Linked DNA regions of Rattus norvegicus. The protein of the gene in region 1 purifies or fractionates together with the protein of each later gene. This does not show direct contact. Links are inferred from orthologs where the notes say so. Each region holds a gene or a part of one and is shown in the gene's direction. Other genes may lie near its edges.

Region 1 (15,041 bases):
AAATACAGTAATTACTCTGCAGTTCTCTGGGCTATTCTTTTTCTTTCCATGTGTGGGTTGTTTTTCTAGGGATCAAAAACTTTAGCCTTGCACATATAATCCAAGTGCTTTGCCACTGAGCTACATCTCCAGCCTCTGATTTTTCGATACAGGATCTGCCTTTGCACCCTCAAGCTAGCCTTGATCTTGCTTTGGATTGCAGGCTTACCTCAGACTTACTATCTGCGTGTCTCTGCTTCCTGAGTGCTGTATTGTATCTGGCACAAGGTTTTCTAATGTCTTGATTTACAGGTGAACTCATCAAAGGCATAAGTACCTTGTCTGTAGTCATGCTAAACCTAGGATTAGTTACTTGAATCCACAGTTTTATTCTATACATTAATGTAGTATATATGTATGTATATATGTATATATGTGTGTGTATATATGTGTGTATATATATGTATGTATGTATGTATTTATACTAAAATATATAGTTGCATCTTTCAAATAGTGAGATTAGCCTTTTTGTTAACGCTTTAGTGTTATAACTGCTTGTGGTTTTTAAAAATGTTTTTTGTTGTTTCTTTCAGAATTTCATAAAATAAGTTTTTGATCATATTCACTCGCTCCAAATTCTTTTAAGACCCATCCGCCTTCCCTTCCACCCAGTTTTATGTCTCTGCCCTCTCCCACGCCCTCAACGTCAGTTTGTGCTGCTTGGATCTGTAGCCTGCTGGAATGTAGCTAACTTATCATGACTACACTCTTGGAGAAAACTGACCCTTCCTCTCCCAGCTAACAGTGGCTAATCGCTCCTCAGGCAGGGGTGGAACACTGCCCAGCTCCACTTTCCATGCTGGGACTTGATTTGGCTGGGGAATTCCAGGTGATGCTACCACACTGGTTTACATGTGCAGCTGTCCTGCTACGTCCAGAAGACACTGTCTCCTCCCTGTCATTTCCTGCTGGCTCCTATATTCTGTCTGATGATCCCTGAGCCTTTGACACAGGGGGTTCAGTGTGTGTGTGTGTGTGTGTGTGTGTGTGTGTGTGTGTGTGTGTGTGTGTGTTCCATTTAGAACTGAGCATTCTGCAGTCTCTACTTCTCTGCACCATGGCCATTTGTGGCTCTCAGTGTTGACTGTCATCTATGACAAAAAGAAGCTTCTCTGGTGAGGATTGAGAAATGCTTCAATCTGAAGGTGCAAGAAGGCAGGTGTGAGACACATGGTGTCTTAGTTATGTTGCTGTGAAGAGACACCAACTGACCAGGCAACTGCTATAAAAGAATACATTTAAGTGGAAGTTTTTGAGGCCTAGTCCATTATCATCATGGTAGGAAGCTTGGTGGCAGGCAGGACAGCATGGCACATGGGGCTGGGATCTTACATTCTGATCTATTGGCAGGCAGGTAGGGAAAGGCTTAGCATGGACTTTTGAAACCTCAAAGCCACACCTACTCCAATAAGGCCATGTCTCCTAATCCTTCCCTGATAGTTCCACTAACTAGGGACAAAGGATTCAGTTATGGTTATGGGGGCCATTCTCTTCAAACCACCACACATGGTCTTCCGGTAAATCAATGCTTGCATTTTAACCACTTTCTAGATCAGGTTTTAGAACCTTTTTGGGGCCCCTTCCCTATTAGTAATGCCTGCCCCCTGGGCTTTAAGTAGGTCTGACAGTTTGAGGAACTGTTCTGAATGCTTACCCTTTAGAGAGATCTCTTACCTCTACTGTCAGGCCTTTTACAAAAGTCATGTTTTTGATGTCTTTTATCTGTAGGTGACTTAAGAATCATATAAAGATAATTTGTAAAAATGTTATTTGTTTAAACAGAAGCATTAACTGATGGCTTTTATATTTATTCACTGACTGTTTATTGAGTCCTTAGCTAGTGGTGGAGATCTGTAGTTTCTCATCTCAAGTTGCTAATATTCTAGATGAAAAGACTCCCAAGCTAGACAGACACACCTCTACTTAAAATGAGAGAAACACAAGGAATTGACTTTAAATCTGCTTAAGAGTCTTATAGAAAATGCAGAACCTAGGTGAGCTAAAGTGAGTTTTCCAGGATGAAGGGTAGGGAGAGTTTGAGGGTTGCACCAAGAAGAGTGTGTATACAGTCATGGGCGGGAGATATGAGAGGTTATGTATGTCCTACTCTTGTGTTGGGGGAATGTGGTAATAATGCTGCCTAAGTGTATAGAATAGGCAGATAATGGGGAACCATAGAAGATCAGAAGCTTCTAGATTTTCTCAGATGAGCCTTCTAGCTTGTCTTGGGAGAATTTTCCCCAGGGATGACTCAGATTCAAGTGTAGTAGAAGGTACATTGTTTGCCTGTTTGTTAGGCATGATTTATAGGAGGGTAAGACAGGAAGTAGCATGGCCAGTCTGCCCTGGTGTATGAGGAAACTGAGGCACAGAGAAGAAAGGGACTTGTCCAAGTTGTAATGGAGACAGGCAGCTTAGTTCATATCCTGAAGTCTCCACTATTTACCCAGTGGGAAAAGTCCGAGGGTGGTGGGAGGTGGAGGCGTGCGGGTGTTTGCTGGGGTGCTCCTGTGCCAACTGGAAGGTGGCGTCCTCCAGTTAGCGATTGTATTCCCTATCTCTGTTGTGTTTGTTTTCTGATGGTTGAGGTGTATCTCATTTTAGCTACCGTTATTATTAATTCACAGAAAAAAATGGAGAAGGTTGACCTAATTTTACAAACAAGTTTCATATCAACTGATGAATGCATGAGACATTTTCAAGGCTTTCACAGTGGTTTTAAGGTAAGTTCAGGTTTTTTTTAAAGGCAATGCTCAGCATTGTTTCAGTAATCCACATTAAAGTTTGTTTTTAATAAGCATTTGAATTTAACCTTAAAAACACTGTGAGAAAGCCGGGCAGTGGTGGCTCACACCTTCATCGCCAGCACCCTGGAGGCAGAGGCAGGTGGATCTGTGTGAGTTCGAGGCCAGTCTGCTCTTCAGAGCTAGTTCCAACACAGCCAAGGCTACATAAAGAAATCCTTTCTTCTTGAGAAACCAAAACAAAACACCTCTATGAGAAATCTCTCCTCAGCATTTGGCCAAGATCAAATGTAAAATCACTGAGAATCTTAAAACCATTGCCAGGCAGTGTCTGTTCTCCCAAGTCCTGGTTGAGTTGCCATTACAGACATCTTTCCTAGATGGTTGTCAGTAAAGCTTCCCCACAATGAACTACAAGATATTCCATTTTAAAGGTGAAAAACTGAGTCCGCTAAGGTTGAATCATGCTTATCCTAAGTTATGTAAGGTTGCAATCAGAGTCGAGGTTCTCTCTCTCTCTGTGGTACTTCACAAGGAAAGAGGAAGTTCTGGACAGCAGTGTGTGTTTCTGAGGGGACAGTGGACTCCGGTGGCAAGAGAGTTACTGTTGATGCGTGTATCGGTGCTCTATAACCCAGCTGGGTCAGACTCACAGAGATGGCATATGCCTAAGAGTCTTACTTAGAATATGTAAGTAACAGTTGTTTGGCGATGTCTAGTGCGTTGGGGGTTGTCTTTGTATTTGCTGCATGTGATTTGGAATGAAGCCAGGGCAGTGGGACGTTGAGCAGAAACTAAGTTTTGTATCCATCGTTGGTAAGAGACTGCCGCAGTGTGAACCCTGCCTTACTTCGATGCTATGTGATTCATGTTCACCATGTGGGAGAATATTTTTAAGATGGGTATATAGTGGGATTTGTTAGTTTTTATTTAATATGTATGTCTCTAAGAGCATATGGCACACATGTGGATACCCACAGAGGGCAGTGGATCCTCTGGAACTGGAGTTACCAGAAGTTACCAGCCTCTGATGCAGATGCTGCGAGTTGAACTCAGGTCCTCTGAAGAGCGGCATGTGTGCCTAACCACTTGGCCACTGCTCTGGTCCCCAGTATTTTTTGTTTTGGTTGGTTGATGGGTTAGAGGTTTTTTATTTGTTCTGTACTTGAACCTGGGTCTCACACAGCTGAGAATGACTCTGAGGATGACCCTGAAATGACAGTCTGCCTGGCTCTCTTTCCTAAGTGCTGGGATTTTAAATGTGCATCACCTTACCCAGTCATGTGTTTTTAATTAACTTAGCTTAGTAGTTTGTGACTATTAATGATCTATGAATTAAGACCATTAAACTCACAAAATATGGGACACTGGGTTTATTAATAGAATGAGTGTCATTCCTATTGAAGTAGTGCCCTTAGAAGCCAGAAGAGGGCCGGATTCCTGGAGCTGGAGTTACAGACTTGGGCACTGCCTGGTGTATTCTGGGAACCAAACTCAGATCCTTAGCAAGAGTGGTGTGTGCACATAACTGAGGCAGCTCTCCAGCCTCCTTGTTGGCTGCTTTTAATAAAACCAATACAATAAAAATATAAATTTTATTTAAATAAAAATCTAAAAATAGATTACTGTTTTAAACTATTGAAGAAATGATCATTTCTTGACTAGTAGAAGTAGTAGACACTTGCTCATGTAATAAATTTTAATATTAAGAATAATTACAACTTTGTAAAATTTCCTTTAGTTCTTTTGTAGAATGATCTTAAACATAGCCTTCTCAAATATTTTAAAATGTACATGTAAAGAAAAATAGGTAACATTAATTTGATATTACATTAATTTGTTTTTATTTTTTATAGTACTGGGAATTGAACCCAGGCGCACATCTCTCTCTCTCTCTCTCTCTCTCTCTCTCTCTCTCTCTCTCTCTCTCTCTCTCTGTGTGTGTGTGTGTGTAGGGGTGTGTGCTTCTGTGTGCATATGAGTTGCATGTGCAGCCTCTATATGTGTATACGTGGTTGCCAGAGATCATTGTCTCTTGCTCCCTCTGTTTTCCTTTGTCACTGAGCCTGGAGTCACTAATTTGCTAGACTAGCTGCCCTCAGGATTCCCTTGTCTCCCTTCCCAGCATAAGGATTACAGCAGATACCACCACACCTGCTCTTTATGTGTGAGCTGGAGTTCGTGGTTGTGTAGCAAGCACTGTATCCATTCATACATATCCCCAGCCTCTTGCCCTCATTAGGCAAAGACTGTACCTCCTAGCTATCTCTCTAGCTATACAATAGAAATTTTCAGTAAATAGCCTCTTACCATCGACTTAAAGAAAAGGTTGGGGCTAGAGAGATGGCTCAGTGGTTAAGAGCACTGACTGCTCTTCCAGAGGTCCTGAGTTCAAATCCCAGCAACCACATGGTGGCTCCCAACCATCTGTAATGAGATCTGATGCTCTCTTTTGGTGTGTCTGAAGACAGATACAGTGTACTTATATATAATAAATAAATGAATGTAAAAAAAAACTTAAAAGGAAATTATGTTACAGTGTACTTATATATAATAAATAAATCTTTTTTTTTAAAGAGAAAAGGTCTGTAGATTAATTTTAAAATACTAAAATAAGTGCCTCTATGGGGAAATACACATAAGTTTTAAATCTGTTGTTGGTAAAATATCAAAACAATTTGAAGGCATGGTCATTGAGTTCCACAGCCCTCATCCAAGTTTACAGTTGTAATTTTATGTGCTGCTTAGAAGGAAGGAGGCACTGTCACAGTGTCCTGCTTCAGAGAGCCAGCAAAAAGGGGTATAAGGTGAGGTATTCTTTGAAAGACCCTTGCCAATGCTTGCGACCCATCTAGGGCCTAGGTGGCTTTTGCTGAGCCGGCTCACTGTAGACTGTGGCTGTTGTGGGAAGGATCCTGGTGCTTCCCTGCTGAGAATTAACTTTCCTTGACTTGGTAGTGCAGAGGATTCAAACAGCTCTGCTCCAGTCAGTGAGGGCCCAGCAGGAATGTGAAAGCCGGTGAGACTGAGTGGCTGTGCTGTTGGATGAGGTGGATCGTGTCTTGATGCTGAGCTGCTCGGCGTGTTTGCAGTACTTCCTCAGACTGCCTGTGGTTTATTTTTAGGGATGGGTGAGAGCAACTGTTCTTGGAACAGAAAAGCCCTGCTGCACCGAGACACAATGCTGGCAGCTGCGGCGGTGTACAGAGGTGAGTCGCCCACTCCTCTACCTGCAGTCACGGAGGGTTTGTGCTGCGTGCTGTTCATTCCACAGCGCCGTTCCCTTCTAGTAAGGTGCTGTCGGGCTTCGTGGGAATTTTGATTTTCGTTTTCTCTCAGAATATAGATCCTATCTGTGTCTGTTTCCAAGCAGTTCTTGTTTCCATAGTGTCAGCTTCTCTGTGTTGAGCCTTGTTATGTGAGGCACACAGATCCTACAGCTAGCCTAGAACTCATTTCTCTTGGAAGTAGGTGTTTATTAGGAGCAGATAGATACTGTTCCAGAATTTAACGATGTTTGTCTTTTTAGAAATGTACAGCAATGAGGATGGTTCCATTCCTGCCACATATCAGATCTACCATATGATAGGATGGAAATACCATGACTCTCAGGTAATGATAGTTCTTAGAGGGTTTGTGTTTCTGCTTGTTTCCCATTGTTGATTGACTTAGGGTATATCATGCATATCATGATTGGGGTTACTCTGGGTTGGCCTTATCTGCATCTAATGTCTCTCATTTTTCTTGTTTTCAGGCAAGGCCAGCTGAAAGAGGTTCAGCAACCGTGTCATTTGGAGATCTAGCAAGACTAAATGATACCATGTCACAGGGGAAAAAATAATAAACATTTGATTCAATTGTAATGTCTCCTGGAATTTTTTTTTTTTTTTTTTTTTGGTTCTTTTTTTTCAGAGCTGGGGACCGAACCCAGGGCCTTGCGCATCCTAGGCAAGTGCTCTACCACTGAGCTAAATCCCCAACCCCTGGAATTTTTATCAGAAATAAGTAACTTTCACATCGAAATTATTACAGTTTGAAGCAAGAAGCTATCTATTGAGCTACTAACTAGCAACCTCATACTAGTCATGCTTAGTAGTATTTCGAGTTCTCGTTTACTTCTGTTTACGTAAAGATGCTGCTACGTAATGATTGGGCATCCTTGGAATCCAGCCTGAAAGCAAAGGAGATGCGGGGAACCTAGGAATATGTGCACACGTGTCAGTACGTGATGTGATGGGAAAACATGTTCATGTTCACATGCTACACCTTTCCTCCTTCTGGTCTCTGTCATTCCTGTGGGATGATCACACGCCTGAGGATGGGAGGAAGGACAAATTGCCCGGTTCTTGAGAGTTCTTGTGCAGTACAATGAGAACTCTTCATAGTGACTGCTGTAGACACTGATACCAGAATTCTTTGTTGTACTTTGTTTCTGGAGACAGATCTCATTGTGTAGCCTTGGTTGGCCTGGAACTACCATGTAGACGAGGCTGGCCTCCACTCATATTGATCTGTCTGCCTTTAGTCTGGGGATGACAGGCATGCCTGGCCCACCATACCTAGTATTGGTCACACGTCTGTCTTGTCCAGATGACCAGAGCTCCGAAGCTACTCTAGCTTTGAACTTGAGAAGAGCAGATTCATCCCTCTTTTCCTGGGTTTGTTATTTTTGTTCTGCATGTTTCCATTGTGTGCATGCTTGGTGCCTGCGGAGACCAGGAGAGGGTCCCCGGGAACGATGTTACGGACAATGGGAGCCACTTCAGGTCTGCTGGGAACAGTGCTCAACAGTGACCATCTCTCCAGCTCCTCCTCCCCACGTTTAAGAGCATCTGAGTTCTGTCCCTGCTTTTTATTCGTTTTTTAACTTCTAGGGTCTAGGTTGCCTACACCACTTTATCTTAAGAGAAGAAAACACTTTAAATGATCAGAAGTAAAATCTCATGTAGGCCTCATTGCCAGTGACTAGCCAGTGTTGACAGACTTTCCTTTGTTATTTTAGACATAGTACACTATTATCCCAAATCCAGGCTCACTGTCTTGACATCTCAGGGTCAGAAAATTTGGAAGCAGTGACATGTCCCTACTGGGCTTTGCTCTCTAACCACTGCTCCTATTTGGGTGTTTGTGGAACTGTAGAAGTGGAGGCCTGGCTCGAGGAAGTTGGCCACCAGGGGCAAGCCTGGATGTTTGTAGTTCTGTCCTGACTGTGGCCCCTTTGCTTCCCTGCTGCTGTGCCTACCCTGCCCTGCCTTATGACTATCCCAAAATAGTCTTCCCTCATTTCCTCCTCTCAGGGATTTAATCATAGTGCCAGGAAAATAACAAAACTTACTAAATTGTCATATCAAAAATTTTTACAAAACTCATTAAATTATTAAATGACATGGAAAACAATGTCTTGAAAACCACGTTTGCTTTTAAATTGCTTAGCTCAATGTCGTGAGGTCCTGGTTGCTGTAGAACTTACAGAAGTCTTCCTGCCTCAGCTGCCCGGGTGCTAGGATAAAAGCCAGCTGCCACACACCCTGCAGTTGTCAGTCTCAATAGTTTAAGAAATTCTCGCCCTTTCTGCTCTGTTGCTGTAAGTTTGGAACTCAGGATGGAAGATTTTTCAGGACTCAAGTTCATGGTAGGAAAGAAAACTTTGATTCTGGGAGCACTGGCCTTTGGAATAAAATTCATTTATTTGAACACCTCTTTGAGTTTCATGTGCTAAGCACCACCAGACTACCTGTCTCCCCCCTTTATTTCTTCTTCTCTCATACATTACATCCCGACTGCAGTTCCAGTCATCTCACCCAGGATTCATCTCCTCCCCACCCACACTTCTCAGGTTCTTGTACGAGCAGATTGTATGGAAATAGTATGGGCTTTTTATTTTAACAAAAATATAATAAGATAAAACAAAAACCATATGGGATTTTAAAAGCCCAGATTTGATCATCGTTTGCAAGCCTACCCCACCCTCTCCTTTAAGATTTATTTTACTTTTGTAGTTATGTGTATACTGTGTAAGTATGTGTGGAAGAGCACAAGTGCCTGCAGAGCCCAGAAGCTGAGGACATTGAAGTCCCTGGAGCTGGAATACAGGTGATCATAACCCTTCCTCCACAGGTGCTGGGAACAGAGCCTGGGTTCTTGCAAGACCATGCACCAGGCCCCTGTCTGCCCTTTCAAAGTAGCAAGTTTAAGCCAATGTGTCTCTAGCCTGTTTATGGGATCTGAGGTTTCAGGTACCCATTAGTCTGTCAGAACCAACCTGGCAGAGAATAAAGAGCAGTTATCAAGACTATCTGTGAATGGGAGATTGGGAAGAGGGAAATTCCACAGGAAGATGAGGCGGTGTTTGTAACTAAAGCCTAGAAATAGGAGAAAGGAGCCGGGGGTTAGCCCTGAGCATGCGTGCTCCTTCCCAACACTCAGTTCTCTCTCTGGCCTCAGCATTTTCATGTGTAAGACTACAGCTTTGCTTCTCAGTCTCCTAGGAGGCTCCCAGCTTACCTTCCAAGATTTTGAGTGTCAAGTGAATATTTAGTGGGAAGACATGAAAAACATTTCACCCTGGATAAGGCACCAACAACAGACCACCCCAGTGTCCAGCTTGATGAGCCAATGAATTACTGGGCTTACTTAAAGGATAGTGGGTGACCCAAAGCAACCACAGCGCTAGAAAGTCTCAGCTTCCACACTATATACTCCTAAGCTAAGACTAGCCCGAGAACAAGGCTTGCTGATGAAGAATTACTGCTGGGAGGCAAGTATATGAAGGAGTGAGGAGAATCCCAGACGAAGGTTGCTTTCAAGTAGATGCAGCAGGTCTAATGAATATAGTCAGGGGCGTTAAGGTCACAGGATGGCTTTGGACAACACTGAGGGACTTTTCCAAATGTTTCTGTATGCTTCCCTGCCTCTGAGAATGGTGGCCTAAGCAAATCCATCACTGAGGGAGGGAAGTAAGTGGTCATGAATCGCTGGACAGGTTGAGATGAGAGGAACAGTCAGACTCCAGTTCTTGGAACCCAAGAGAAGCTGGCCAGGGATGCCTTCCTATCCTTACAGTTTCTTGAACTTTTGTTTACTTGGCTTTTTATCGGCAGTGTAGCATGTGGTGGTTACACCCTGCCATTTTCAATAGGCTGGGGTCACCGAAATAGCTCACATTCTCTCCTATCATGCTGATCTTCCTCTCTAGCCAGGGTAGTCCTTTTCCCTTTAAGAGTTCAGTTTGATTTTTATCTGATAACAAATTTTGGGAGAGAAGTAAAGAAACACACTGTGATTTACTTAGGTTCTTCCACTGGCCTTCTTTTCTAGATCCCTTTTTGGTGGAAGGTGGTGTCCCATGTATCCCAGTCTGGCCTCAGACTTGGAACTTGCTATATAGTTGAGAATGATCTTGGATTTGATTCTCCTGCTTCAACTTCCCAAATGCTGGGATTACAGACATGAACTACCATGCCTGGTTTTCTGTGGTACTGTGGATTGAACCCAGGGTTTCGAGAAGACTAGACAACTGACATCTCCAGACACCACACACACACACACACACACACACACACACACACACACACACACACACACACACAGGCGAATTTTAGTCTCTCAGATTCTGTATGGATGGTCTTCTATATTTTCTACAAAAGATAACAAATTTTTTAGTCCTAAACTTAAAAGTGCCCTGGATTTTACAGAAATTTGCAGTCACTTACCCAAATGATTAGGTCATAGCTACAAATCACACAAGGGCCTCAGGTGGCCGAGGCAGTACTGTGGAGGGCCTACTGGAGCAGTCTCAGTAAAGTTAGATTGTCTAGTCATGTGGTTCTCAAAGGAACTTTATTTACCCTTTACCCTATTCACACACAGTTGACAAAGCCACTTAAAGCTATGAGTATTATGCCCTTGCCAGACATTGAGTTAGTCCACTGATGGACATCCTAGTTATCTGTGTACTTCCCTATGAAGTGCAAGTACTGTTGTCCCCCTTTCAAAAAGGAAAAAGGTATAGAGATTGCGAGTTTTGTAAGGTCACCCAGATGGCAGAGGCAGTATTATTTAACCTCTACACTGCGTGTGATGGAGGCAGAACAAAACAGTTTTAGTCCTAAGGGTACGCTTAGTGTGGAACCTTTGTCTACCAGGTATGAGTGAAGTTTCCTGAATTGGATTCCGACGGAGGTGGGGATATTAATTACCTCATTGTCTTGGTTACTTTTCTCATTGCTGTAACAAAATACTTGACAAAAATGACTTCAGAAAAGGTTCACTTTCTCCAATGTGGTGGAAAGTCACAAGGGTGACTGGTTACTGTACGCTGAAGAAGTAGGGGTGAGTGCTATTACACCGTGCTCTCTCACCCAGCTTTTTGGTTTGTTTTTAATATGAAGTCTGGGTATCCAGCCTGTGTGAAGGGTAAGTCTTGTCTTAAAGTTCTCTGACACCTCCCTATACACACACACACCTAGAAGTCTGTCTTCTAGGTGGTTCTAGATCTAGTCAGGTTGGCAAAATAAGTCACACCTACCGCCTTTTGGAGGACGAAAACACGAGCCTCCAGTCTCTCTTCGGATCTTTCTCTTCAGCTGCTATGGTTTGCTAAATGAACCTCACAGGCAAATATGGTGAAGGTCTGGCCTACTTATTGATCTACTATTGTAGGTGATGGGACCTTAAGATGTGGAGCAGTATGAAAAGAACGTAAGTCACTAGGGGTGTGCTCTTGAAAGGTACATCGTGACCCCTTTGGTTCTGACAGCATAAGATGGACAAGTTCCTCTTCTGCTTGTCCTTTCTATGTGAGGCTGCCTAAAGCAGTGGGGCCATGCTTTCATGGAATGAAGTCTCAGAAACCATGCCCAACCTGCCCCCCTAAATTCATTTTCTCCTTATTTTTTGTTTGGTTTTGATCTTAGTGTCAAAGCTAAGCATATTAGCACACTCTGCACCCTAGTGAGCTATGAGTGAAGAACCTGGAAAGGATTATGTCCTTAGCATATGCCCAGTTTCCTGTTTCAGAATTTTGGTCCCTGCATATTTGCCTGCCTGCCTGCCACATTCCAGGTCTTCTGTGCGCTCAGTTCAACCGTCTTTAATTCAGCTCAAGTTTTCACTTCTAGCCTGCCTTGAATCTGTGTTATTTTGTACTTTATACATTGTTCCTGTATGTAAAGTATGTTTAGGTTCTTCAGCAAAATGTTTACCTCCTACACCAACATTGCTATAACCATAGTTCTAGTAGCACAGAGAAAACACAAATACAGACACTGGAGTTCAAATGAGGAATCAGGCACATTAACTGAAAATTCTAAGACCAACTACTCACTTGGAGTTAAGGATAGACTGTTACCTACCTCAGAAATCTGAGTACCAAGGAAGACAGTAGTTGGATATGGACAATTCCAACACAGTTCCTTGAACTAGGAGAAGACATCTGCTAGAGGTAGGAGGATTCGCCCTAGAGAACAAGTTGAATTATGAAGTCAAAGCAAAATTTGTAGCCAAACTGAAGGGGACTTTAGGTGCCACCCAGAAGCTCCCAAGTTGAAAGCTTGGTTTTCAGATGATGGCACTCTTGGGAGGTGTGTAACCTTTAGGAGGTTGTCTTAGTTAGGGTCTTATTGCTGTGAACAGACACCAGGACCAATGTAAGTTTTATAAAGGACAACATTTAATTGGGGATGGCTTACAGGTTCAGAGGTTCAGTCCATTATCATCAAGGCAGGAACATGGCAGCATCCAGGCAGGCATGGTGCAGGAAGAGCTGAGTTCTACATCTTTACCCAAAAGAAGCCAGGAACAGACTGAGCATTCCCAGTCAGCTAGGAGGAGGGTCTCCAAGCCCACCTCCACAGTGACACACTTCCTCCAACAAGGCCACACCTTCTAATAGTGCCATTCCCTGGGCCAAGCATATGCAAACCATCACAGAGGTGGAGCTTAATGTGAGACATTAAGATCACTGGGGACATATCCTTGAGTTCATACTGGGATCTCTGCACCTTCCTGTCACCCTTTGCTTCCTCACTGCTGTAAGAGTAGCAGCTGTCTCCACTGCAAACTCCCAACTGTGATGCTTTGTCTCACCATAGATCCCAAAATAATGGAGCCAACCAACCGTGGTCTGGAAGTCCCAAAAGATGAACCAATAATCCCACCTCATAAGTTGCTCATCTCAGTTGTGTTAGCGCAGTGGTAAAATGCTAATCCCTGTCTAGCAACTGCTGAGTGTTCAAAACTGAACAGGGACTGAGGAGATGGCTTGTCTGGAATCTACTGTGCAACTGTGAAGACCTGAGTTTGGATCCCTCTCATGGATTCTATAACCCAGCACTGGGAAGTATGAAATCGGGAGAGTCACTGGGGGCTATTGGCTAGCCAGCCTGTCCAATCAATGAGCTCCTCTCAAACACAGACACACACAACTGCACACGCACCCCAATATGAATATGTATATATACCATAGAATGAATAAACGAAAAAGCAAAATATATGTTTCAGTATATACTTACATAGTACATATATTTAACATACCATTCCCATCTTCTTTAATATCTATGATTATAAAAAATGACCTCAACTGCTTTAAGGAAAAGTTGTAGTTAACTTTCACATTTGATTAAGAACCAGCTTCAAGCCAGATGAGGGCTATTCCAGTACCAAGAAGGCTAAGGCAGGAGCAGTGCCAGGAGTTCAAGGCTGCCTGGTCTATACAGTGGATTCCAGACCAGCCTGGGTTAGACTGTGAGATCCTGTATCAAGGCGAGGCAAAACAAAGCAAAACAAAACAATAAATCAACCCTGGTGGCAGCAGGTGCTGTGTGTGCCTCAGTGGAGCGGGATGGATGTAGGTCCTATAGCTGAAGAGCCTCTCTGTGAGGCCCAGGCCTCCACCAGAAGGAAAGCCTGGTCTCTCGATGGGAATGTGACCCACAGTGGCAAAGACTGGGTTGAGGGAGAGGTGTCTGGAGCAGATACCCTCAGCTTGGATTGTCTGGGGCACCAGGCCTCCATCCCTGTGGCCACTTCCCAGTTCACACTTGCCTGAGTCCTTAGTCCCTCACAACACTGCCCTGGCTCTGGAATATCCAGGGTGGTTCCAGTTTCTCCCAACCTGGGACTCCAGTTTCCTGAGGAATGAAGGAGCATAGATTCTCCTTCCACCACTAAGCCAACCACACCCCTCCTGGGAAGTCTCTCCCTCTCCCTAGTCTCCTCTTCCCCTCCCCAAGCCACCCCTTGCTGGATTCCAGCCCCAAGGCTGGCCACAGAGCACCTCTTTCATATTACCTCCCTGCTGTCAACAGATCCCCTCGCTTCCCAGATTGCTTCTGCCAGCCTGCAAATGTCCTGACTTTCTCCAGTGTCATCCTCAGCCCCTTTGGTCTCCTTTAATGCAAAGAGAAGTCTGAGTTGGTTTCACAGGCCTTCAGAGTTGGAAGTCGCCAGGCCACGCCTTCCTTTTTTTTGGCTGAGTGGCAGTGAGCTCTCACTGTGATCTGGGTGACCCAGTGTCACGTTCAGTATACCAGACTAGGGAAGAGAGAGTAGGACAGGGGATTGGTGACTTCCACAAGAAAAGTTGCTGAAAAGCATTCAAAACACTCAACGTTTCCTTCGTGCTGTGAAATCAAAATAACTCTTGGTACTGTTGACACTTTTCAGGCTCCCCTGTGAACATTTCTAAATTTTTCTTCTTTCAAAGAAACTGTTACTCAGCTGGCAAAATACACTTATAATTAAGAAACTTTGGGATAGCATTCTGGTTACATTTAGTCGATTAATTTGGACAAGAACCCAGACACTTGTTTACATATTTGAACCCAAAATCCAGCTTTTCTTTCTCATGAGGTTTTCTTTCTGGGATTGGTCCCTGTTACTGATTTAGGAGTCCATGTTGTGGAGTTCTGGGTTCATACTGTTTTCTGCTAACCCCATGGACCATTCTGGAAGATCTTGACCCAAAGGGTACCTATCTTTGCTTTATAGGGCAGCAGCCTGGGAAACTTTGACACCAAAGAAGTTTGGTTCCCTCCCCCTGCTTTTTATCAGATGACCAAGGAAGAAGGACTCAGGGAGGTGTAAGGGCTCACATTGTGATGTGTTTGAGGAACACGGGTTTCAAACTCGTTGGTAGCTAAGAATGACCTTGAATTTCTGATCCTCTGATTTGCTGGCTTGCTGGCTTGCTGAACGCTGCATGCTTGCCACACCCAGTTGAGGATATGGACGGAGAGCTCCCAGCATTCGAGACAAACT
Region 2 (15,986 bases), on another chromosome or scaffold:
ACCCTGTCCTCAAGGCTGTCGCTCCCAGCTAATTTGACCTCCATAAGGAAGGAAAGGAGATCAGAACATAACTGTGAACCAAGTCAGTGTTTCTAACCCTTATCAAGTGCTCATTTCTGAGGGTCAGCCCAACAAGGCTTGCCCAGGGTACCCAGCTGCAGCCTTGCTACCTGCCATCTGTCACCATAGGAGTTCAAGTCCATACGATCGTTGCCAGCTCCTAGCAATGGGACAGGCCCGCCTGGGACTGAGGTAGCCTGGGAGTTGGCCTCAGTGTTCAGCCTCCTAGAGACAGAGCAGCATGGGGCAGAGGGACTGTGGTCAGCAGCCCTGGGGAAGTACTGCCCTGCAGATGTACTGCACAAAGCGGGAAACCTCTGAGGCGGTCTTCAGCTATGGACAGACTGCTAAGAAGGTCTGTGTGGGTCTTGCCAGGAGGAGAGAAGTCAATCTCAGGGGCATGGCCAGAGTCACTTCCCAAGAAGCAGTGGATGTGCAGACATCTTCTGAGGCACTAGTTGACCATATTTTTCACACTTCCAGGTTGGCTGGTTAGCACTCAGGGCCCATATGTCTTCTTCAGTGACTGTTCTGAGCACTGGGAGGTCCATCCAGGGATCACCTGGCTCAAAGACCGCTGTACCAGTTTCCTAGGTGAAAGGAAGGGGCCAGAGGGGCAAAAGAACAGCCAGAAGACACCCACGGAACACTCCATGGTGAACTCCATATGAGGGCCAGGGGGGACTCTGTACAGCGGGGCCCAGAAAGTCACATGTTTAAAAATGCAAAAGCGGATGGCTCTGAAACTGGAGGCTCTGTGGTCACCTTCTGCAAATCTGCCTGGAAGCTGGGGCAGGGCAGGCGGGTGCAAGCTACCAGCTCCATGCCAGCAAACAGAGAGTTGGGGCTCCACGGACACGGACTGGAGCTATCCTTTGGGGTGTCTGTGTTCTCCAGCCTCTGTTCAGATCCTGTCCCTGGTTCACTAGAACATACCAATTGGGTTCTGAGCTCACCGGGATCCTGCAGAGCAGGAGGTAAGGTATCTGGAGATGGAGTGGGCACAGGACTCCTGGGCACAACTGCGGTGGAACTAAGAGGCTGGAGGAAGACTTGGCTCCCAGGGGGAGGCACAGGGCTGGTCAGCAGATCAGCTGGGCCCACAACAGCAGCTGCAGAGTTGGGCTGGGCACAGGGCCTTAGGGTAGGGAACTGTTGTCCACAGGAGGCTTCCAAGTGTCTCAGGATCTGGAGGAAAACGGGAAGGAGTTGGGGGTTCCTGTTTATTGCTAGAAACAGTGAGGGGCAAGGCTAATTGTTTTTTAGCACAGGCAGGTACCCAGAGTCACGACATGGCATGACACAAGTCCCCCTGAACAGATATATGGGCAGGCCCAGCCTCAGAACCTCCCAGGGGACCAAGGTTACTCTGGACAAACGTTCCTGTGATGTTACCCAAGTTTACTGGGTTTAACAGGTGCTAACAGTGTAGCAGCCAACCTGGACTAAGAGGCTGCAACACATTTAGTAGCAATAGAGAAAATAAGAGACCCTGGCCGGATGTGTAGTCATGCCTTTCATCCCAGTACTTGGGAGGCAGAGGCAGGCGGATCTGGGAGTCCAGCCTGGTGTGTCGGGTGAGTTCTAGGTCAGTCAGGGTTACATAGTAAGACCCTATCTCAAAATGTAAACAATCAATCAATCAATCAATCAATCAAACAAACAAAGAAAAAACCAACTAGGGGTGCGACCAAGCAGACAGAACAGGCACAGGTGAGGAGACTCAGGGCCATGGGAAAGACTCTGGAGATGAGGCAGGGTGAACCTGCCCCAAGGAAGACTTTCTGGAGCAGGGTGAGTATGTGCAGGACACAGGATGGTGAGCCAGGCACAGGAATGAGTGGGGGAATGGGTGGGTGTCCAGGTAAAGCAGGCAGCCAAGGCACCCATGGTGCAAGTCCAAGGGAGGTGGGCACCAGCCATAGGCAGGGCTGTAGGAATGCGTCATAGGTGCTGACCATGGCCACCTGGGCCATGAGCGCTGAGACCGTCTGGCGCTCCCAGGGCCCACGGCTCACCTTGGTGGCTTTGTTGGTCACAGGCCCAGGGCTGCCTGCACCAAGTTCCTGCAGCTGCTGTCGGCACAGGAGGAGAATGTGCTCCTGAGGAAGGAGGTCAGCACTTCCAAAGGACGCTATGGCACACAGTGCCCTCTGTGGACCAGAAGCAGGGGAGAACGGGAGTCAGCTCTCCACGGCTCCTCAGGGTCTCATGCCACCCTCCTCTGTCTTGGCCTTGGATGAGGAGATACTAGCCATGCTGTCCCCACCACCCTCTCCATGTTGCCCAGGTGGACACTGTCAGCCAAGGGTGCCCTGCTGTCATCCACACAGATCCACGTATCCCTGCTCCTTCACACACGCACAGTGAGCTCCCTCTCGTCCTCACCATCTGCTCACACTCACTGGTCCCGACCAGCTGCTGGAGGAGCAGCTCCAGCACAGCCTCACAGTTGAGCAGGCCGCACCTGTACAGGGAGGGGACATATGGGAGGGATCGGGGGCAGCCACAGCAAGTTCCCTCCTCCCTCGGGACAGATGCACACAGGTGGGCAGCTCACTCTTTGATGAAGTGCTGCGTCTCCTCACGGCTCAGGAAGACACGTGGCCCCTGTGTCACAGTCCTCACTAGATTCAGTTCTTGCTGGCAGTCATTTGGGGCCATGCCCTCAGCCCTGGAAAAAGTACAACAGCTCGGCCAAGTCAGATATCTAGGTCTCAGGTAGAAGGGTGGGAGAGCACCCTCTAAGCTCCCACAGTGGGGTCTGGGAGAGGTGACCATCTATTCCACATACCTCTCTGCCAGGTCGCCTGGCTCCCGGCTGGCACCAGAGTGGCTATCACTGCCAGACCGACTGACTGAGTCTGAGGCCCTGCTCAGGTTGCTGGTACAGGAGGAATTCTGGGAACTAGGACTGCTGTCCATCTCATCCCAGCCTCCTCCAGCCTGCCCGGGCTGGTGTTTCACAGCTGAAAGATGCAAGAATGGCAGTTAAGGCCCCAGGACTTTTCACAGACCTCACACCACCTTCTTAGGGACTCTGGGCTAGGAGACGAGAGGTTGTGTCCTGAGCTTACAGGACAGCTCCAGAAACTTCCAGCACACAAGATGGGTGCTTCCTGCCTCCTGCCCTTGTGACAGTCCTGCCTAGGCACGAAGGCACGTCTAAACCTCTAATGTGGCAACCCTTACCGCCTTACCTCTGGTCCCCTGGATAGCCGCAGGGAGGAGATTCCCGGGGTTGGGATGTGTGTGGCTAGCTGAAGGTGTCACTGCAGGCTGGTAGGCATCACCGTGTGGCAGGGGTCCCTTGGTACAAGGATTATCAGGCCCAGGACGCACAGCATTCACCACTACCTCTGCGGCCCTCTGGATGGTGGAGAGGAAGGTTTCACCTGCAGAGCCTGTACACAGAGGAAGTGGCATCAGCACCCCAGCCTCCTTCCCAACCCCGACTGCATGCTCCAGGAGGGCCAGGGCAACTGTCTGCTCAGAGCTACGGAGGTACAGACAGACACGTGCTTCAGGTGGAGCACAGCAGCTGCACTCTGGTCTGGACTCTTGGCTTAGAGCAATCAGTTCTGGCAAGGGATGTTCTACGAGGGCTGCCCTGGGTAGTCAAAATGTCCTTGTCCCTTCAGTCAAGGGGTACAAACACGCAGGCAAGGATGGTCAGGGGGCTCCGTATACAGCCCCAAGGATAGCTGAGATGGCTTGCTCCATTCTGTGCTGTCAGATACACCTTCAACAGACAAGCTACAAGTATCTGACGAGTAGGACCCACACGTACCACGCTGTTACCACCGGCACAGATGGCCCTCCAGGTTCCTGTCATGGTTGGATCCTTGCTCCTCAAGCAGTACCAAAGGCCAAGGCCAGCTGGATTTAAGTCTAGCTTCTCCTTCCTGGCCATCAAGTAAACCTGGCCACTCTTGCCAAACCTTCCTCTCAGCTGGGCAGAGGAAACAGCACAGGGGAACAAGCACATCCAGGAAGTAACAAACGGGTCCACATGGGTACACTTGGGGACAGATGATCTTGATGCCATTGAGTTCTGGCCCTGACCTCTACATGAATATAAACTCTTTTTTCTTTTTTTTTGGTCTTTGAGACAGGTTTTTTTGTTTTTGTTTTTTTTCCCATGTAGTCCTGGTCATCCTGAACCAGGCTGGCCTCAAACTCACAGATCTGTCTCTGCCTTCTGGGTGCTGGGAGTAAATCTGTACATCTCTCTACCCAAGAGTCCTGTGTCTTACCTGTCCGGCTGCTCTCCTTAGTATAACCGAAGCCTTGTAGAGCACTATGAGGCCTGGCCTGGGCGCCCATGCCTAAAAGAAACTGGCATCAGCGTAGGCCTCCCCGGCCCTGCCCACATGCACAGAGACATCTAGGACACCAAGGGACAACCTCTGATGATGGCAGGGGGGTGGTCACCGAGTGGCATACCTGCAGGAGGCAGGATCTGGGGCGGCTGGGAGGGAGGCTGTGGCAGTGCGTCTGAGAAGAGGGTGCTACCCAGGTCCTAAATGAAGAAGTGGGTGCTGAGTCCTACCTGAGCCCGCTGTTCTGCCCACCCCCGCCAGCTCTGCTCTGTGTCAGACAATTCTCTCAAGCTGTCCAACAAAGGACAGGGGCTGTGGCTCAGCTGGGCCCCATGCGGCAGGAAAACAGCAAGCACCTCACAGACATTCTGTCGCCCTAGAGTCTGGGCAGTGACCCTGTCCAGAGCTCACCTGGGCAGCCGCCCGCACTTTCTGGTACAAGCTATTTCCATGAAGAGGATCCGGAGGCCCCGCGAAAGCTGCAGGGCAGAAGACAGACGGAGAGGCTGAGCCTGGGTACTCTTTGCTACCCATGGGGCAGGCCAACCCTCCCAGAGGGTATATCCCCCAGCTCCTTCCTCAGGGGGGTTGGGGATACAACATTTAACATTCGCCCTTGACCACTGGAGGTAGCGAAGCCACCATCCACCTCTATGATATCTACTGTGTCTGCCAGAGACAGACTTCTTACCTCCCACCTCCTACCCTCGCTGGACTTGTGCTTACCTAACTGCTTCCTTGGGTCCATTCTCCTCCACTCACCTGCAACACGACCCTTAGCAGTTTCTCAGGGCCTGGATGGTAGACCTGAGGTCTCTGTCAGGACCTTTTTACGTATTGTTTTGCACCTGGCTCCCAGGCTGCTTCAGCCTGAGATAAAACTCCCTCTGCTAAAAAGGCCCCCTCAGAGAAAACGAGGTTTTCTCACACCACGTGAAGCCAAGCTTTCCTTGGCTCAGGGCTTTGCACATGCTGGCGTATACCATAGCACACCTATATATGCCAGTTCTGCCTCACCCTTTTAGGGCTAAGAGTCATTCCTCAGAGAGTCCTTAGTGGGTACCTCCAACACTGACACCTTTTCCATTCACAAGCTCAGACCAGTCAGAGCCCCAAGTGTGGCACCCAAGGGTTGTGTGTACCGATACCCACCCCCTGCTTTCCCTGGGCACACCTGTGTCTTTCCATACCTGTGGCTTCTTGGATGAGAGCAGAGTTTCTCCTAAGGATGAGCATGAAGGAGGAAGAGCCGTGACTGCACAGGTAAAGCAAGATCTTCAGCACCTGAAGAACCAGCAGACTCATGGGGCTGGCGGTTGCGAAGTATCTCTCCCCCAACCCAAGCTGGCTCCAGGGACTGAGGCCTCACCTTGAGCTTCACGTGGCCAGAGCTACTGTCCAGGCGGTTCAGGAGGTACTCCAGCAGGCACTGGCTGCTGCCCAGTGACTCGTGGGAAATCTCTGAGAGTCATTTGGGTCAGGGAAGCAGGCTGACACAGGCCATACCAGGAAGGATCTACTGGCTGAGAAAGACTTGCCTTCCGATGACCATGGGACTCAGGTCTCACTTTGAAGACCATGACCACAGGCTTTGGTCTAACCAGCACTGGAACTTTTAGCGTGTCCTGGTCTCTACCTTATTGGTATTGTAGTTTTTAGTGTTCCCTCCCCTCCTCTTACCCCACTCCTACCCCCATCTGGATACTAGGAAAAAGAAGTTGCTGGTGCTCCTGGGATAGCAGAAGACCCCATCTTTGCCCAATAGCCCTTCCTGCTAAGTCAGGACCCCCGCTGTTTACTAAGCACTAAACCCACCAACGGTGCAGAAGGATACTGGCAATCTCTTCAAACAGGTAGCCTGGGCATGGGATGTCATCATCTGAGGTCCCCTTCAACAGAATGGGGAGCTGAAGAGGAATGAGTGCCATGGTGAAGCTGCCGTCTTATATAGGGTAGGTCCCAGCCACTGAAGGGAATGGAAGCAGGCAGGCCTCATGCTGACTGGTGCCGAAACTGCCCAGGAGAGCCTGGGAGGGACCACAATCATCCCAAGGGCCACAAAGTGGAGCTGTAAACAGGCTTTGCTCTGGCACGGAGGAGTGACCCAGGAAAGAGGAAAATCAATGACGGTTCTCTAGGTCAAGATGAGATTCAGTCCCAGCCTTCTATGCTCATAAGTGTGAGGATATTTTAAATCTACCTACTTATCAACCAGCAACAGCAAGAATCTCGGGGCTTTTTGTGTGTGATGGGCGAGACACCAGCCCTCCTGAGTACAGACCCAAAGGGCTCAGCTTGGCGGGCTTCATGGCTCCTTGAGGGGTTTCAGTTCTATAGTCATGAATCAGCATAGCTGTGCTTGCTTACTTACTGCCTTGCCTGTCACTGCAAACATATGGTGTTTACTTGGTTGAGATCTGAGTTTCCAGGATCTTCAGAAATGAAGCCTGGGAAGAGGGGATGGGCCCCGCTGGAGATCGCTCGCCGCCCTTGGGGTTAACCTCCTGCTATCACAGCAGGCGCACTCATTTTCAGCAGCTGCTGGACAGTTTGTCCCCGCTAATCTAGCAAGGTCCCCGAGCGCGAGTGTCAGCACACCCGGCGAGTTTCACTCACCCTATGTAGAAAGCTCAAGCGGTCTCGCAGCGGCGGAACGGCTGCCATGGTCCAGGTAACCTCCCAGTCTGCCACGCTTCCGCCAGGTTTCGATCCTCCAATCGTCGCGTTTCTCTGGTTCCCCCAACCAATCGTTCTCAGGAGGCGGGCACAAAGGCGGAAACATCTGAGCCTCAGCCAGTCCAAAGTCCCAGGTAGAGTCGGACAAGAACTAACACCAATTACAGAAGCACAAGACAGCGACTCTGACCAACCAGAAAGCAGTAAAAGGCGGAGGGACCGGATGTTCACACATTCTACACCGGAAGAGGCAGGGCCCAAGATGGCGGCGCCCACAAGGGCCTGAAAGAACCGCTCATGTCTGTCAACGGAGCGGTGTGGGGGCGTGTGCGGAGCCGTCTCCGAGCCTTTCCCGAGCATCTGGCGGCCTGCGGAGCTGAGGTAAGCAGCGGACGGAGCTGGGCTGCAGGATAAGCGGAAGAGGGTGGCGACTCTGGTCAGACCCTAGTACTGTCCGGTCTTCCCACAGGCCTCGGCGTATGGGAAGTGCGTGCAGGCCTCCACTGCCCCAGGAGGCCGCCTGAGTAAGGACCTGTGCGTGCGCGAGTTCGAGGCCCTGCGGAGCTGCTTCGCCGCCGCGGTAGGTGGGCATGTCCTTGCTGCCTCGTTCCTTTCTGGCTTTCCTTTTCTGCTGCTTTAGGGCAAGGCCAAGCATACTTTTTTCTGCCAATCAACTCCAGGAAGGGTCATTGAAGGGTGGAAGGACCTCAAGTTAACTTTGCTGAAGGCCGACCCCAGCTCAACTTAGTTTCTCTCAGAAGTTCCTGTGCGTTGTCCGGGGAGCGCCCTGCTAGGCACCCCTTTCACCGAGGAGTCAAGTGCAGTGTCCGAAGCTAGTTCTCATTGTAGCACAGAAAAGATGATGAGAGCCTCTTGGGTCTTCAGCCTATGACCCCTCCACTTCAAGTCCCCTCTGACTTTGCCTGGCCATGGTCCCTGTCAGTTGCCGTCCCACTTACAGTCTTGTGAAGACGGCCAGCAGCGTAAGACCATAGTGAGACCGGGAGACCATAGTGTATGTTTCAGACAGAACAGGTAGGTGTTATCAGGTAATGGGTCTTTGACCTGCAAGAGTCTTGGGCCCTCATCCTACGATAGGTTCCTAGAATTATCACTACTACTGGTCTCCTGGGTATTGCTGATTCGGCGGGTCTGAGGTAGGTCATAGCAGCACTGCTGCTGGGAGATGCCAATGCAGAAATAGGACGAGAGATAGGGTCGGGGGTTAAAAACGCAGAGCCACGGGGTTGGGGATTTAGCTCAGTGGTAGAGCGCTTGCCTAGGAAGCGCAAGGCCCTGGGTTCGGTCCCCAGCTCCGAAAAAAAGAAAAGAAAAAAAAAAAAAAAGAAGTGGTAGAGCGCTTGCCTAGGAAGCGCAAGGCCCTGGGTTCGGTCCCCAGCTCCGAAAAAAAGAAAAGAAAAAAAAAAAAAAAAAAAAAAAGAACGCAGAGCCACACGGCATATCTGAAGCAGTTCGCTAAGTCCACAGTAGCCTTAGGCAGAAAGAGCAGTGTTTGGGAGACCTAAACTTTCCTTGAGTTCACTACAGTCTAGCCTTACCTACAACCTCTGACTAGTTTCCCAGCAGACGCTGTTCAGTCTTCAGGTGCTGCGCTTTTCTTGTTCCTTCTACCTTGATCCCTGCCTTTTGGCTGCCTTTCAACCCTGTACCCCTCCCTCCCTGAGCAGGGAGGCAATCAGACAAGCCTTTACTCTTGTGGTTGGTGGCCAGCAGCTGTCATCAAAACCCTAGACACACTCCTAGTGTTCATAGTTTCTGCTGTCTCTGCCACCCTCTCTGTGGTTGACCAGAACTTTGTGGCTGGTGAACTGTTGACTCCATCTCTTTTCTTGCCTAGACCAGATAAAGGTATCCCACATCCATCCGTGCCCAATCACAGGGCCCAGGCTCCCTCTGTAGGTGAGCTCAGGCTGGAACCCCCATATATACACTACCACCTCAGTTCTTTAGGGTGTTTGGGAGAATGTGACATTTGTTTGCTTTTTTTTTTTTTTTTTTTGGTTCTTTTTTTTGGAGCTGGGGACCGAACCCAGGGCCTTGCGCTTCCTAGGCAAGCGCTCTACCACTGAGCTAAATCCCCAACCCTGAGAATGTGGCATTTGATGTCTTGCTTTTAAGCCATATCTAAAATTGGAAATAAGTTGCTGAAACAAAATGTTTTCTCTTTCAGGCCAAGAAGACCATGATGGGAGGCTCCTAGGAAGAGCAATGGGCACAGATGCGTTGTACTGACAGCACTCATGGAGACCTGAATGTGGACAGCAGAGTTCCTGGTGTTACGTGGTTCTTCCCACCTTGAACCTTGGGCAGGGCAGGGCTGTTTACACAGCACTTTGTGTATGAGGATCTGGATTTGATTAAGATGTAACATGATGATTTAACATTGCAGTTTCAGACTTTTATATAGAGAGCATGGTATAAGGAACTGGTCTCTCCTAAGGACAATGTATCCAGAGGACACCTGCATCCCCACCCCACAAGGGTGGCAGGTCTGGACCACAGAGCTCTGCCACAGGGACCTCATTTAAAACTGCACTCAGCTGGGCATAGTGGTGCGCACCATTAATCCCAGCACTCGGGAGGCAGAGACAGGTAGATCTCTGAGTTTAAAGCCAGCCTGGTCTACAAAGCAAGTTTAGGACAGCCAGGGTTTGTTACACAGAGAAACCATCTCAAAAAAAAAAAAAAAAAAAAAACAAAACAAAAAACCCCAAACCAAAGCAAAACAAGAAACCCTGTTCTAACCAAGGTCTGGGGAAACTGCTCAGCAGTTAAAAGCGCCTGTTACTCTTTCAGAAGACCCAGGTTCAGTTGCTAGCTCCTACATGGCAGCTTACAGCCATCTTTAATTTTAATTCCAGGGGATCCAACACCCTCTTCTGGCCTCAGCAGGAACCAGGCACACATGTGGCACACAGACATACAGGCAAAACATATAAATCTTAAAACAAAAACTCCCTATTTTCATCAAAAGTATTTAGTCTAAGTCTGGCTCACCAAGCCTCTGGATCTGACAGCTTAGCGTAAGGCACACCAAAGACAAAAACAGCAACAGCAGAAGGGAGCAAGCCTCCAGCATAAGAAACGGCCTACGGAGGGAGGGCTGCCCAAGAATTGGCAGAGGCTTTTCTGCACAAAAGCCAACAAGGAGGTTCTCTTTGGACCTTCAGTGAGGGGACAGCCATCCCTGCAGCCTGTCAGGGACAATGGCTCCTAGCCTTCATTCTTTTCCTCCTCTTCACACAGTGGGCTTAAAAAAATTCAGGAGTGCAGAGGATTCTCTGTACCTGCTGGGGAACATGGGAACTACTGAGTCCCATTCTACTTAGGTGTGGTGGTCATGGTGTCCTTGACAGTGCACCTGCCTCAGAACCCTGATTCCTGGGAACAGGGTTAGGGCCAGGGACCATCATGCCCTGTATTCCATGCCTAAATCTGCACCTCCACGTGGCATCTCACTGCTACTCTGGAACTGGCCTGACCGTGCGGGAAAACCCAGGTTTTTTAGTTTAAGATTTATTCAGCGTGGACAGGTGTTGTAGCTGTGTGTGTGTGTAACACACACACACACACACACACACACACACACACACGTGTATATGTATATTACACTGGAGGTCAGGGAGGCACAATGGTGTTGGAACTGGAATTACAGAGAATTGTGGGCTGCCATGTGGATGCTGGGAGTCAAACCTGGGTCCTCGACAAGAGCAACAAGTGCTTTTAACTGCTAGGCCATCCCTTCAGCTTCTAGAAAACTCACATTTGGTAGATTCCGAGTCCATCTCAAGACATGACTTCTGGGCTCTCACTGAGACCCAGGTGTTGGTGTGATTGCCTAGGGATTACAGATTGTTGTCTGAGTGTTCTTTTCTCCATGTTCTCAAGAGCTCACAGCCCAAGACCAGCTTCCTCAGACTGACTCCCCACCTGCCAATATCATCTTCAAGTTTCCCTGAAAGCTCACTGACTGGAGCCTCTTACATCTCTGAATACTCCCAACTTTGGGCCCTCAGACTTGTCTGGCAAAATGTTCTGTCCTTTCATCTTCCACCTTAACCCTGAGGAGGCAGACAGTCCCACTGCTTTCCATGGTCCTGCATAACCCAGGCCTACTACAGACTCAGCTCAGCTCTCAGGCCTCAAGCCCCACTCCTTCCAGCTGTCATGATTTGAATATTAGATTCTCGTACACACAAGAACGAGACTATTTTGGGAGGTCCTAGAAACTTCAGGAAGTAGGTCATTACAGGCATGCTTTTGAACATTGTGCCTGATCCTCAGTTCCTGTCCAACAGGACATGGAAAACCTCTACCATATGCTTGTGCCACAGTGCTGTCTCGGCTGATCACACAGGCCAGGCAACCTTGGTACTGAAACTGAAAATCAATCAAGTTGTCCTGCAGTATCCAGGCCACTGCTGTACAGGCTCCTTTGGCCTTTGCACCTGCACTAGTCTCTCTCAGGAGTGCATTCACTGGCTACAACAGACGCTTCCACGGCTGCCACAGCCACATAGCACTGACTGCTCAAGCATGTAGTCAGCTTGTTGGGGCTGAAGCCCAGAGGTTACCTGTCAAGTTCTAGTGCTGTGAGGGCCCTCCTGCTGAACCTTTCCTGGGCAAGAGAGCACAGTTCAAAGGTTGCCTTGGTGTACCACCTTATAGCCTAAGCACTTAAAAACTTCCTCCTGGTTCTCCTACTTGGAACCCTGCAACTTAGACCTCACTGAACCAATGTCTTGGCCTTGGATGAAATCTGGTTTATTTTTTTTTTTTTTTTTTTTTTTTTTGAGGCATGATTTCTCTGTGTAGCCTTGGCTATCCTGGAACTCACTCTACAGTCCAGGCTGGTATTGAACTCAGAGATCCACCCACCTGCCTCTGCCTCCTGAGTGCTGGGATTAAAGATGTTTGCCATTCCTACCCCAGCTGTCTGTTCTTTTGAGAGCTTGAGCATTACTCCCTGTGCCCCGCTCTGCTGCCCTGGAACAGAAGCATGCCTCCTAGCCTGGTAGCATTGCTACCAAGCATACCTGTTCTACAGCAGAATCATCTGTGGGCAGGCATCCCACTGCAGTAGCCTGCCTACTGGAGTTGACCTGACCCAACTAGTAGCTAGTAGCTGAATTGGCAGGCTGCTGGCCCAGGTTTTACAGGACCCAGCTGGGAGCACCGTCTCCCTCAGCAGTTTTACAGTTTGCCAGCAACCCCCACCCCACCCCAAATCTGTAGCTGTGTTCTTTAAGAAGTGCCCTTACCTGAAGGTGCTAACAGCAGGATTAGAGGGGAGAGCTAGGAGGAAGAGCTGGGAACAAGGACAGCCCTGCCTACTTTTAGAACACAATGACCTCAAGATACTCAGGACTATCAGGCTATGTAGAAGTCCCAGCCCCAGCAAGGTGACAAGAGTTTTGATCTGAGGGGAAGGCCAGGTGGCATCTTTCCACCAAACAATGCTGTATTTGGAACTGGTTCTAGTCAGAAAGGATGGAAGCCTGACACCCTCTTCTGACATCCAGGGGCACTGCAGGCATCTGGTGCAGAGATAAGCAAAGGAAACATTGATAGACATAAGTAAATTAAAAAAAAATAAACTGTAATAAAATACATTTCAAGAGGTGCAGCAGGTACACAATAGGGTGTGGCCTGGTCCAAGTATGATTCCACTGAGGCTCCTGGTGCTTCCAGGCCCTTCACGGCAGGGCTTGGGGACAAACCAGGCTGTTGTCCCTCAGTCTCCTTACTGGGCAAGGGAGTGAGTGACAAAACATATCAAGTATTCTCTGCTCAAAGACAACAGTCATGACTTCCTGCTCTGACTCCCAGGACACTACCCTGACAGCTGCAGTTGGACAGAGGGCAGCTCTACTCTGAGCCTAAAGCCGTGTAGATACATCCCAGGGCTTGCTGGTGGCAAGCCTGTGCTCATTGTCCAACCCCTCCCTACAACAGGGATCAGCACGGGGGCCTGTTGCCTGTTGCTTCCCCAGCAGCACTCAGCTGGTTCAGGAAGACGGCTGGGGCGTGTATCCCCATGACCTCTAGCCTCTAGCTGGTTTGGTATCATCCAGGATCCTGAATGTGTTTTCCTTTAGGTAAACCAACTTGACTCACTACTTGTTAGTGGTGTTTTATTTTTTGCTTCATAATCAGGTTCAAAGAATGTGGATGATAAAAACCAGGAGGGCTGTGTGCCTCCTTTCCCAACCCAAGTCAAGTCCTACCCACCCCAAGGCAGACAGACATCCCTGATGCAGGTTTCCTTCTATGGAGAACATGGAATTTATCTAGTCAGTGGAATCTGGCTGTCACAGGTTGCAAGTTAGATGAAGACTGGCAACTTCAAAGTTGCCTGCCTTGCTGTCAGCACTGCCAGACTGAGTCTGAACAGCCGAGGTGCCGCAGTGCATCACTGGAGCTGAACTGTATGTAGCACTGCTTCTCCTGGGCTGGTTCAAGACCCACCATACTAGGGCCAGTGCGTGCTTTGGTGTGGCCTTGGGGCAAGTGAAGCCACAGAGGGACAGATGCCTAGGGTTGGGTGGCAGGGTAGACTTTCGCAATTCATCATGAAGGACTTGGGAACATAACAACATGGCCTCCAGTCAGGGTGTCGCCAGAGGACACCGGCTGCCTGCCGTCCAATGTCTAGCAGCAGCCTTCCCCTGACCAGGTTCTCAGGCTTCCTCCAGGTCTCCAGACAACTGTTTAATCTGCCGGCTGTGCACCACCTGTAATGCGGCCCCTGCAGCCTGGCGGAGCTGGGTGTCCAGAGCACTGCGGAGGTCGTTCACCTGTACGTTAGGGAGGGAGTTAAAGCTAATGATGACTCCATCCTTTGGAGCCAGCTCCTGCTCTGGAGGAGAGGCGAGATCCCGCCGTCTCCTCCGCAGGTCAGAGCCAGCCTGCACTTTCAGGTCTCTGTTAGGTTTGGCATTCTCAGGCTTCTGATCCCCAGGCACAGCTAGTTTGGGCCCAGAATTCGGATCTGGTCTCTGCTTTTCCTCTTGCATAGCGGCAGCCCCTCTTCCTCTGTGCTGCTCCTCAGCAGGGATGCCAACCCCTCGGGGGCCCTCACTTCTTACCTCTGGGTGAGAATCCTGACTTTTGTCAAAGATGACCTGGGGTTCTTGCCGAAACCTGGCTTGGGCCTGAAAGCCCATACCTGCTGGCCCACTAGCTGGGACCTTGGTGGGTTCTGAGTGCCTGGATTTTGAGTGAGAGTCCTCAGCTTCTGCCCCCACTAAAGGCTGGGCAGCCTCTTTCTGAGTATCAGCACCAGGGGCCACTGCATCCTTTCCAGTTTCCTTCCTTTCTTGGGAACCTTCACCAAAGACATCTTGGCGCTGCCTGGCAACCTCCTTGGCAAGCTGCTTCTCTGGACTCTTGGGCACCTCAGCAGGGTCTGGCTTGTGCACTGGTTCCAAGTCCCCTGGGACCAGCTTCCTCACAGCTTCAGCCACCTTGAGGGCAGCACCTTTTTGGTCTTCTCTCAGCTTACTTGAAGCCCCATGGGGCTCTGTGTCAGAACCACCAGCAGGAAGGTCAGCAAGGTCTCTGCCTGCCAGTACCTTGACTTCCTCCAGAGGGTGCTGGCCCTTGTCTTGGGATGGAGCAGGGTGACCCCTAGGAGCTCCAAGCACAGGTTGCAAAGGCTGTGAAGGGTTATCTTCCAGTGTCTCCCCAGCATGCTCATCTGGGGCCCCAGCATGCTCAGCCTCCTCTTCCTGTCCTCTGAGTACAGCCGCCCCAGGCTCTGGCTGCATGTCTGCTGTGAACGAAGGTAAGCATTGTTTTAGCCAAAGAAATGGACAGTTGGTGATGCACTGACTGAAAAGAAACTTTCAAGCAGTTAAGAACACTAACTGCGGGGTTGGGGATTTAGCTCAGTGGTAGAGCGCTTGCCTAGCAAGTGCAAGGCCCTGGGTTCGGTCCCCAGCTCCGGAAAAAAAAAAAAAAAAAAAACACTAACTGCTCTTCCAGAGGTCCTGAGTTCAATTCCCAGCAACCACATGGTGGCTCACAACCATCTGTAATGGGATCCGATACCCTCTTCTGGTGTGTCTAAGGACAGGTATAGTGTACTCATATACATAAATTAAAAAAAAAATCACCAAGAGCTGGAGAGACGACTCAACAGTTAATGTTTGCTGCTCTTGGAGAAGACCAAAGCTGCTCTCCCAATACCTATTCAGGAAGCTCACAATGGTCTTATGTAACTCCAGTTCTAAGGGGTCTGACATTCTCTTCTAGCCTCCACATACACACATAAACACACACATAATAAAAATAAAATTTAAAAACAGGATCAAGACTGAAATCTTCACTGTTCAGGCTCTGAGCCTTGAGTCTAGCCCCAGACCTGGTCTGTCTTCTGTTCCCCAGGGCTGGGTTCTACCTACCAGGCTTAGGCTTGTCCTCCTCACCCTCCTGTCGCTGCTGCCGGATCTCCTTGTGCTGCTCCTCAATCACTGCAAGCAGCTTCTCCTGCTGGTCCAAGAGGCGCTTCTGCTGAACCTGCTGCTCTTTGATCACCTGTAGCAGTACAGCATGGTCCAGCATCTCTGCCCTCCCAGCTTCTGGGGGAGACACACAACATCAGATGCACCCCAGATAGGGTTGCCAGACACCTGTGGGACTGCTGGCCCTGTGACCCATGGGGAATCGGTCCTGTCATGCCTGTATCTGCAACACCATCTGCATCACCTCAATCCCAGTGGCACAGCAGTCAGGCTAGAGGGCTAGGCCCTAATCTGGCCAGCGGTAGTCATACCTGCATTTGCTCTCCCCTCAGTGGGTCAGACAGTGGTCAATCCCAGATCCCTGTCTGCTTCTGGCTGAAAATGCATGTCCACACAAAAATTGAGAAGGAATGTACCAGAAAGTTAGTAGTAGGTTCTCTGA

What was found.
Region 2: the proteins of Ndufaf5 (region 1) and Ndufaf8 purify together in Homo sapiens (affinity purification with mass spectrometry; 3 studies listed by BioGRID and IntAct, counting the BioPlex papers as one, with this or other methods). This does not show direct contact. The link is inferred for Rattus norvegicus from reciprocal best matches to the Homo sapiens genes NDUFAF5 and NDUFAF8.

The regions. Positions count from the first base shown.
Region 1 is NC_086021.1:147,984,483-147,999,523, forward strand, and holds the end of Ndufaf5 (arginine-hydroxylase NDUFAF5, mitochondrial precursor), read left to right. Parts: intron 1-2,666; exon of another isoform or gene 2,667-2,762; intron 2,763-5,908; coding exon 5,909-5,992; intron 5,993-6,312; coding exon 6,313-6,395; intron 6,396-6,537; coding exon 6,538-6,624; 3' UTR 6,625-6,646; downstream 6,647-15,041. UniProt on the Homo sapiens protein: Arginine hydroxylase that mediates hydroxylation of 'Arg-111' of NDUFS7 and is involved in the assembly of mitochondrial NADH:ubiquinone oxidoreductase complex (complex I, MT-ND1) at early stages. May also have methyltransferase activity.
Region 2 is NC_086028.1:105,872,593-105,888,578, forward strand, and holds Ndufaf8 (NADH dehydrogenase [ubiquinone] 1 alpha subcomplex assembly factor 8), read left to right. Parts: upstream 1-7,315; 5' UTR 7,316-7,355; coding exon 7,356-7,439; intron 7,440-7,527; coding exon 7,528-7,638; intron 7,639-9,249; coding exon 9,250-9,279; 3' UTR 9,280-9,467; downstream 9,468-15,986. Other genes in the region: AP-4 complex accessory subunit tepsin, read right to left, coding at 769-1,248, 2,079-2,213, 2,449-2,527, 2,621-2,734, 2,855-3,029, 3,261-3,464, 4,317-4,388, 4,507-4,582 and 5 more; Slc38a10 (solute carrier family 38 member 10), read right to left, coding at 13,760-14,853, 15,485-15,661. UniProt on the Homo sapiens protein: Involved in the assembly of mitochondrial NADH:ubiquinone oxidoreductase complex (complex I, MT-ND1). Required to stabilize NDUFAF5.